Xenopus tropicalis: one gene and its partner. Each later gene encodes a partner of the first gene's protein in a complex. Links are inferred from orthologs where the notes say so. Each region holds a gene or a part of one and is shown in the gene's direction. Other genes may lie near its edges.

What was found.
Region 2: the proteins of npr1 (region 1) and nppa are in contact, whole or in part, in a crystal structure (PDB 7BRG), measured with the Rattus norvegicus proteins. The link is inferred for Xenopus tropicalis from reciprocal best matches to the Homo sapiens genes NPR1 and NPPA. Residues at the interface, in NP_036745.1 of Rattus norvegicus: Asp90, Val115, Tyr116, Ala119, Pro120, Arg123, Ala139, Leu140, Gly141, Ile142, Val144, Tyr148, Tyr182, Asp184, Leu186, Gly187, Asp188, Asp189, Arg190, Phe193, Phe194, Val196, Glu197, Tyr200, Met201, Arg204, His213, Gln214, Glu215, Phe216; in NP_036744.1 of Rattus norvegicus: Arg126, Ser127, Ser128, Cys129, Phe130, Gly131, Gly132, Arg133, Ile134, Asp135, Arg136, Ile137, Gly138, Ala139, Gln140, Ser141, Gly142, Leu143, Gly144, Cys145, Asn146, Ser147, Phe148, Arg149, Tyr150.

What each region holds. Positions count from the first base shown.
Region 1 is NC_030684.2:144,232,440-144,236,258, forward strand, and holds part of npr1 (atrial natriuretic peptide receptor 1), read left to right. Parts: coding exon 1-11; intron 12-156; coding exon 157-234; intron 235-3,119; coding exon 3,120-3,224; intron 3,225-3,307; coding exon 3,308-3,379; intron 3,380-3,819. UniProt on the Homo sapiens protein: Receptor for the atrial natriuretic peptide NPPA/ANP and the brain natriuretic peptide NPPB/BNP which are potent vasoactive hormones playing a key role in cardiovascular homeostasis.
Region 2 is NC_030683.2:65,813,675-65,818,074, reverse strand, and holds the start of nppa (natriuretic peptides A), read left to right. Parts: upstream 1-1,350; 5' UTR 1,351-1,458; coding exon 1,459-1,575; intron 1,576-3,573; coding exon 3,574-3,888; intron 3,889-4,400.

The sequences.
Region 1 (3,819 bases):
CCTACTACAAGGTAAGGTCCAGCCCTTCCATCGTTACCTCCATGTCCCAAAACCATGTTACAAACCTCTCAGTGGTGACCAAGGTCGGAGGACCCCCTTTACACCCCCTTCCATGTGACCCACCAGCTCACTCTACCCATTGTCTCCCCCCTGCAGGGCAACATCATTGCCGTCAAGCACATAAACCGCAAGCGGATCGAGCTGACTCGCAAGGTCCTGTTCGAGCTGAAACACGTAAGGAACAGCTGAGCTCCTCCTAACTGACCACTAAATGATCCCGGACCCTTACGCTTTTCTTCTGACCTGACCAGAGCAGTGATGTAACCCTCCCTTCCTCTGCCCAGTGCTGACCATCTGGGACCTGTCTCGCTGAAGACACTTCCTTGGCTCCCGACCCAGGGAAAAGCTGCTGACGATTCAGAAAATCCCATAAACAACTAAAGTCTGGGCTCCCCTCCACTTAACCCCGGTGGGGCGGTCAGTCGGACACACTGGCACGTGTTTGAGCTTCTCCACAGGGAGCTCATTCCTGAGAGTCCAGCTGAGTCCTGCTGTAGGGGAAGAGCAGCCAATAGGGATTTCCTGGGCAGTCTTGTCCTCGCTTTTGCTTCCAGATCTTTCTGTTTTGGGGGTTCGCCCCCTGGATTCCCAACGCAAAGTAGTTTTAGGGGGTTGATGGGCTTGGAGGTCCCACAGCAGCAGCCTGAGGAACGTTGGTCTAGCTGAGGAGCATGTTCCTCTCTCGCTCTCCTTTCTCTCCATCTGTCTCTCCCTGTGACTGTCTCTCCCTCCCTTCCCTCTCACAGCAGATGTTATTTGCTCTGGCCCAATATTATTCAGAACCGGCCCTGGCATTTCACTAATGTTTGCAGTGTCCAGATGCCCCAGAGGGAGCATCGCTGCCACCTCACCCCGACTCTCTCGCTCCCTCCCTGATTGGACGGGGCCTTAGTAAGGGGACATTCAGCCCACGGGGTATGCCCGGCGTGTGGGGCCCCCCAGCTGTCTTTTCTCTTTGGTGCCCACGGTGCAGCCCCTCCTCCCTTATTAACATGATGTGGCCAGTGGCCAAACAATCGGACCAGCCTGGTTCTTTGGCCAAATTGTGCCCCCTTCTTGGCCGGTCGCGTACTGGAGATCCCAGCAGGCACATAAGAGCGAGTAACCCCCTGCTGTAATTGTGCGCAGGAATCCCATCTGAAGGGTAGAGAGGGGGGTAGATAATGCAGCCGAAGAGTTGACCCTTTCTGCACCATGTGGGGCACTGGGGCAGTTAACCAAGTGGGGCCTCCATAACTGCATTTAATAGGGTAGAGCCAGCAAAGAGTTAATTTCAAGGTAAACTAACTTGTCGGGGGCCTCTCTCTCCTCCTGGTTATTCCGGTTTGTTATAAGATCAGTGTAACCCTTGCCTGCCCATGGCGTATGAAACCATTTAACCCTTGCCTACCCTCTCTCACCTTTTCACCATTAACCCTTTGCCTTCTCACCCTTATTCTTGCCTGCCCATACTCATTCCCTATCTACTTGGATTGGTACCGTTTAACCCTTGCCTTCTCACTGGGTATGGAAGCACTTAACCCTTGCCTACTCTCTCATTCTTTATTTATTGCATAAGGAACTGTGTAACCCTTCCCTAGCCATTCTCATACTTTTCCTGGATACGGAACTATTTAACCCTTGCCGACCCTTTCCATACTGGGTAGGATAATTTAACACTTGCCTGCTCGCTGTCATTTTCCCCTATTACCCATTTACCCTATGCTGACCATTTTAACTCTTTGTTACTGGGTTTGGGACTATTATCCATTACCGCCCCTCTCTGATCCTTTCCTCACTGGGATTTAACCATTTATTTCTTGCCTACCCATTCTCATCTTTCTCCATTGGTGATAAAACATTTAACCCTTGCATTCCTTCTCCGCTGGGTGTGGAACTTTCCCATTTAGACATGGAACCATTTAACCACGGTCTTATCCTTTCCCTGGTGGGTTTGGAACTGTTTAACACTTACCTGCCCTCTCATATCCTTATTCCACTGGCTATAGAGCCATTTAACCATTCCCATCCACTCACATAATTTCCACTTAGGGAATGGGATAATTTAACCATTGCCTACCCTCCAAAATTCTTTTCTAACAGGGTATGGAACCATTTAACCCTTGCCTTCCCCTTCTCCCATTCTTTCTGATATGGTTAGGAAGTGTAACCCTTGCCTGCCCACTCTTATCCTTTCCCACTGGGTAGGGAACCATTTAACCCTTGCCTTCCCTCTCCCATTCTTTCTGATATGGTTAGGAAGTGTAACCCTTGCCTGCCCACTCTTATCCTTTCCCACTGGGTAGGGAACCATTTAACCCTTGCCTTCCCTCTCCCATTCTTTCTTATATGGTTAGGAAGTGTAACCCTTGCCTGCCCACTCTTATCCTTTCCCGCTGGGTAGGGAACCATTTAACCCTTGCCTTCCCTCTCCCATTCTTTCTTATATGGTTAGGAAGTGTAACCCTTGCCTGCCCACTCTTATCCTTTCCCGCTGGGTAGGGAACCATTTAACCCTTGCCTTCCCTCTCCCATTCTTTCTTATATGGTTAGGAAGTGTAACCCTTGCCTGCCCACTCTTATCCTTTCCCGCTGGGTAGGGAACCATTTAACCCTTGCCTTCCCTCTCCCATTCTTTCTTATATGGTTAGGAAGTGTAACCCTTGCCTGCCCACTCTTATCCTTTCCCACTGGGTAGGGAACCATTTAACCCTTGCTACATTGGGTATAGGACTTTCCTGCCTTCCCACATCCCTTTCTAACAGGGTATGGAACCATTTAACCCTTGCCTTCCCTTTCTTATATGGTTAGGAAGAAGCTGTGTAACCCTTGCCTGCCCACCCTTTCCCCACTGGGCATGGAGCCATTTAACCCTTTCCCTGCAGTACCCTATGCTTCCCTACTGGGCTGGCTATCATTCCCCCCCCAGTCTATCCTTCCCTTCTCCCCCAGGCGACTTGGGAACCGTTTAACCTTTGCCCAATTGATCCGGTGATTCCCCCCCCCCCTTCCCCGCTGGCTGATGAATTATTAAATGTTGCCGGGGCCCCTTGGGTTTAACCGTTTGTCTTCCCTTCTAGATGAGAGATGTGCAGAATGAACACCTCACGCGATTTGTCGGTTCCTGCATCGACCCCCCAAACATCTGCATCCTGACAGAGTATTGCCCCCGGGGCAGTTTGCAGGTACCACCCCCCATGATTTGTATTGCTAGAGTTAGAGTTAACCCTTTCATGCCCCTCGCTGATGCCCCTGTGTGTTTCTGCAGGACATTCTGGAGAACGAGAGCATCACGCTGGACTGGATGTTCAGATATTCGCTAATTAACGACATTGTGAAGGTAACAAGGGGGCGGGGCCATATGCTGGGAAATGAGAGCCTTAGATTTATTATACATCTTACCAAGCAAGATATTCCAAGACAGTTTGCAATTGGTCTTCATTTTGGAGTTTCAGCAGCTATATGGTTGCTAGGGTCCCAATTACCTTAGCAACCAGGGAGTGGTTGGAATGAGAGACTGATATAGGAATAGGGGAGGGGCTGAATAGAAAGATAAGGAATAAAAAGTAACAATAACAATAAAACTGGAGCCTCACAGAGCAATAAGGTTTGGCTGCCGGGGTCAGATATACTGTTGCTAGGGCTCAAATTACCTTAGCAACCAGGGAGCTGTTGGAATGAGAGGCTGGTATATGAATAGGGGAGGGGCTGAATAGAAAGATAAGGAATAAAAAGTAACAATAACAATAAAACTGGAGCCTCACAGAGCAATAGGGTTTG
Region 2 (4,400 bases), on another chromosome or scaffold:
TACTGGCTTGACTAGTTAGTGACGAGGGAAAAAACAGAAGCCCAGATGTCAGAAATAGTGTCACTTCTTTCCAAAACTGGTCATATTCTCTAGTGCCACAAATTAATGCATTGGCATTGTCACACAAAATACAACAATATCTAGCTACATATTCAAAATATACTCATACTCCATATTTGCCACCAGAGAGAAAAAATGGAGGGGAATAAATGATTAAATAAGCTTTATATTTTAAATGTTAATGCTTAAAGGACAAGGAAAGTCTAAGTCACTTTGGGGTGCCAAAATGTTAGGCACCCCCAAGTGACTTAAATTGCTTACCTTGTACCCCGGGCTGGTGCCCCTGTTAGGAGAAAACAGCACCAGCCCGGGGTAACTGTAGCGAGTGCTTCCTTCTTCCCTATTCGCGCTGCTGCTTATTGTCCGGGACAGGCACATGCGCAGTAGAGTGAAACGCTGACTTCTCTGTTCAAAGTTCGGCTACTCACTCTACTGCGCATGCGCGCGCAGCGAACAAGGAAGAAGGAAGCGAACGCTGCTACCCCGGGCTGGTGCTGTTCTCTCTGTACAGGGGCACCAGCCCGGGGTAAAAGCTAAGCGATTTAAGTCACTTGGGGGTGCCTAACATTTTAATATTTAAACTGGGACAAATTTACTATAAAAAGGGAAAGGGTTTACTAATGAAAAATGGAGAGGAAAGGCTAGCAATGTAGATTTTATGACATGTTTTTAGCTTTTTCAGAGTTTGTAATCTATTATTTAAACTTTTTAAACATGGAATAAATGTATTTATTTCAATGAGCACAGCAATAAGTTAAGATCTAAAACAATGCTTTTAAAGGGTAGTTAACCTTCAAATTAACTTTTACTATGTTATAGAATTAGCAACCTTTAGTCGCTCTTCATTTTTTATAGCTTTTGCATTATTTGAAGCTAATCTGGCCAGGTCTGTTGTACTTACATTATATTTTATTAGTCTTGGAGTGCTCCCACACTGCCCTGTGTGTTTCACTAGCTAAACTCCATCCATACCACATTGGTTAGAAGTTTGAATTTTCTTATTTTCTATGAATCACTAATAAGGAATGCAGATGTAAAGATAGATGGGTCAGTTTATCCTTTTCACCCAGACACTGCATGTGAGAAGCCTCTTTAACAAAGAATGTGAGTCTTCCATCAGGTCAGTTCAGTCAAGTGGATAAGGCACCTCCTGGAAATTCTGTGGAAATGCAGAGGGAAGAATAACTTTAAAAGGGAATCTTCTGTTGGCCTGCAACCAGCTTCTTTATCATACGGAAGTGCTAGAATGTGGCGGGGTTCATTCCTCTGCAACTCTGTGTCACTGCTACGCATATAAAATGAGTCAGTGTTGTGTATATCAGAACAAACAAGGAGACACACAGACATTTCTATAGTGGAAATTAGGTTTTTGGTCAATATCAGAAAGTCTCAGGAGTCATGGGGACTTCATTCGTTGGATACTTTACTTTCATCTTCTTTCTTCTTGCTCTGATGAAGGCCAGGGGCAGTCCTGCATACAGCTCTATCTTGTCTTCTGATCTAACAGACTTAAAGGTGAGAGACTCTGTAGCATTGATGTGGTTCTAAAGAACTTTACTCAAAAGAAGGAATGAAAATATAATGTAATTCTAAACAGTGAAGATTAAAGAGAAAGTGTAGGAATCCAGCAAAAAAATACTGCATGCTCTGTATTCTATTATTTTACACACTTTTTTAAGTTTATCCATTAAAGGGCAGTTACATATTTACAGCAACTAGCTATTATTAACATGATCCCTTTTGAAGTTTCTCGGATGCCTTCCCAATATAAGTGTCTGTTGTTGTAGTTATTTACACTAACAAATCAGAGTTAAATATCTTTAGTGCACATTGAATTCCATCAATTAATTTCATTTTTTCCTACATATGATCTTTCCCTGGTGTATAACCTCCTTTATGTATAATTAGCAGGGAAGCTCTTGTATCCCACCTAATACAACATGTGATTTTAGCAAGTTTGCCTATTAAATAAGCTAATTAAAACTATCTATAAATGTACAACACAAAAAAATGTATAATGCCTAAAATGATAACATTCAGAAATATGCTTGTAGTAAAACATATTGGGCCCATAATTTATTTGCAAGTTTTAGATGCTACTCATACAATCATTTGTAAATCTATAAATCAGTTACAGTTGGGGTTACATTATTCATTATAATCTATAGTTTATCTTTTGCTGGCACACACCACATATATTATTAAGTTCTTATAATTAAAGTAGATCTAAACCAAAATACAAAAAAAGTCAACTTACATTGCTCCTCTGAGCACTTGCTATTCACTTACATTTTTTGTTTTTAGTAGTTTTTGAGTTATAGTTTTAGACTCAGCATCTCTCTAGGTTTAACTGACTATGAAGTAGGGATGCACTGAATCCAAGATTTGTTTTGGGATATGGCCAAGATTCAGCCTTTTTCAACAGGATTCAGATTTCACCAAATCCATGGTTCTTGCTGAACCGAATCCGAAAAATCACATGACTTTTTGTCATATAAATACGGAAGTTGAAAATTTGCCACTGCCTGCTTTGCATACAATTGTCTTTAACCTTCCCCTATCCTAATTTGCATGTGAAAATTAGGATTCGGATTTAGTTCAGTATTTGCCCGAATCTTTCATAAAGGATTAGTGGTTTGGCCGGATCCTAAAATATTGGATTCCCTACTATGAAGGTGGTGCATAATCAGAGACCATTAATAAAAAAAAATGTAAATCACAAGAGTGGTCAGAGAACTCTGCTTTTAACAACAACAATAATTCAGACAGCTCTCCTCATATCCTATAGTCTAGCTCTTGCTTCATCCAAAAAGTCACTGGAAATGCCGTACAGCTTATCAAGTGAACATGGGCATTTATTGGGAAGTTGATATACACATAGTTTCACACAGGCACACCTAAAAAAAAAAAATTCTGAAGTTGGACCTCCCTGATCTTTACACATGTATTTAATACATTATATAAGTACCAGAATAACTCTTAAGCATCTGGCCCACATCTACTGGCTGAAAATATTAGAGCAGATAAGCTTATCTCATGATTTTAAAGTTTAGTTGTTTCTGGTTGTAGCCTTTCTTTATCACCAGTCCAGAACAACCAGTAACATTTAGGGGCATATTTATCAAAATGTGAGTTTAGAGCTCAATACATAAAACTCACATTGTATTCATTCTTGTGGGGTTTTTAGAAGCGTATTTATCAAGGGGTCAGAGTTAGAACTCACCATTTGATAAATACACCTCTAAAAAACCCATAGGAATGAATACAACGTGGGTGAGATTTTATGTATTGAGCTCTAAACTCACATTTTGATAAATCTGCCCCTTAATGTGAGTTTGCCTAATTATTTGGATATTTTTTTTAAACATTACCCTCAGACATGAGAAACTGTTGTTTACATGACAATAATTTACACACATTCATAATATATATTTGGAAGAGTTCACTAGAAATTAATTTCTTCACTGCAATTGACTACATTTTATTTAGCTCATTAAGATCTTTTTCCTGTAGAACATTTTGGAGCGCTTGGAAGCGCCTGCAGAAGAACCAGTGGCCCCATCCCAAGATTTATTTGCTCAGAATTTTGATGTTGCCGATGCTTCTAACTCTGCTCCTTCCTGGACCGGAGAGGCTGTGAGACCCCAATCTGATACAGTATTCAACAGAGGGTCTTCCTGGGAAACACCTGATAAACTATCCCGACTAAAAAGCAAGTTAAGAGAGCTTTTAAATTCACCAAAAAGTTTAAGAAGGTCCTCAGACTGCTTTGGAGGACGCATTGACAGAATTGGAGCCCAGAGTGGCATGGGTTGCAACAGCCATAGGGTGAGCAGCAAACCCATTCTTGTAGTATCCACCTAAAAACACATTTGCTAAAAATTATAAGGGAATTGTGTTGAAATAACATTCTGCCTTTTGTTTTAATTAAAAAAAAAAAATCAAAGTTTTCCTTTTATTTGCCATTATAGAGGACTAATTTGAAAGTTGGGCTACTCACTGACCTTACCGTCCCTTTCTTTAGGGCTCTGGCACACGGGGAGATTAGTCGCCCGTGACAAATCTCCCTGTTCGCGGGCGACTAATCTCCCCAAGTTGCCATCACCTGCCATCCCACTGGCGAAAGTGTAAGTTGCCGGTGGGATGGCACATGCGGCGGCGCGATTTCGGCAAATCGCCGAAAAAGCCTCGCGAGGCAACTTTGTTCAGAACTCCCTATCTACCTTCTATAAAGCAGCCTTTGAGCAGCTGATTATTAGAGACTTCTCAGCCCCTAATGTGGGCTGGTTATTAGCTTTATCAGCTCCTTTGTTTGTTGGGATCAGGAAGTGAAAAGAAGT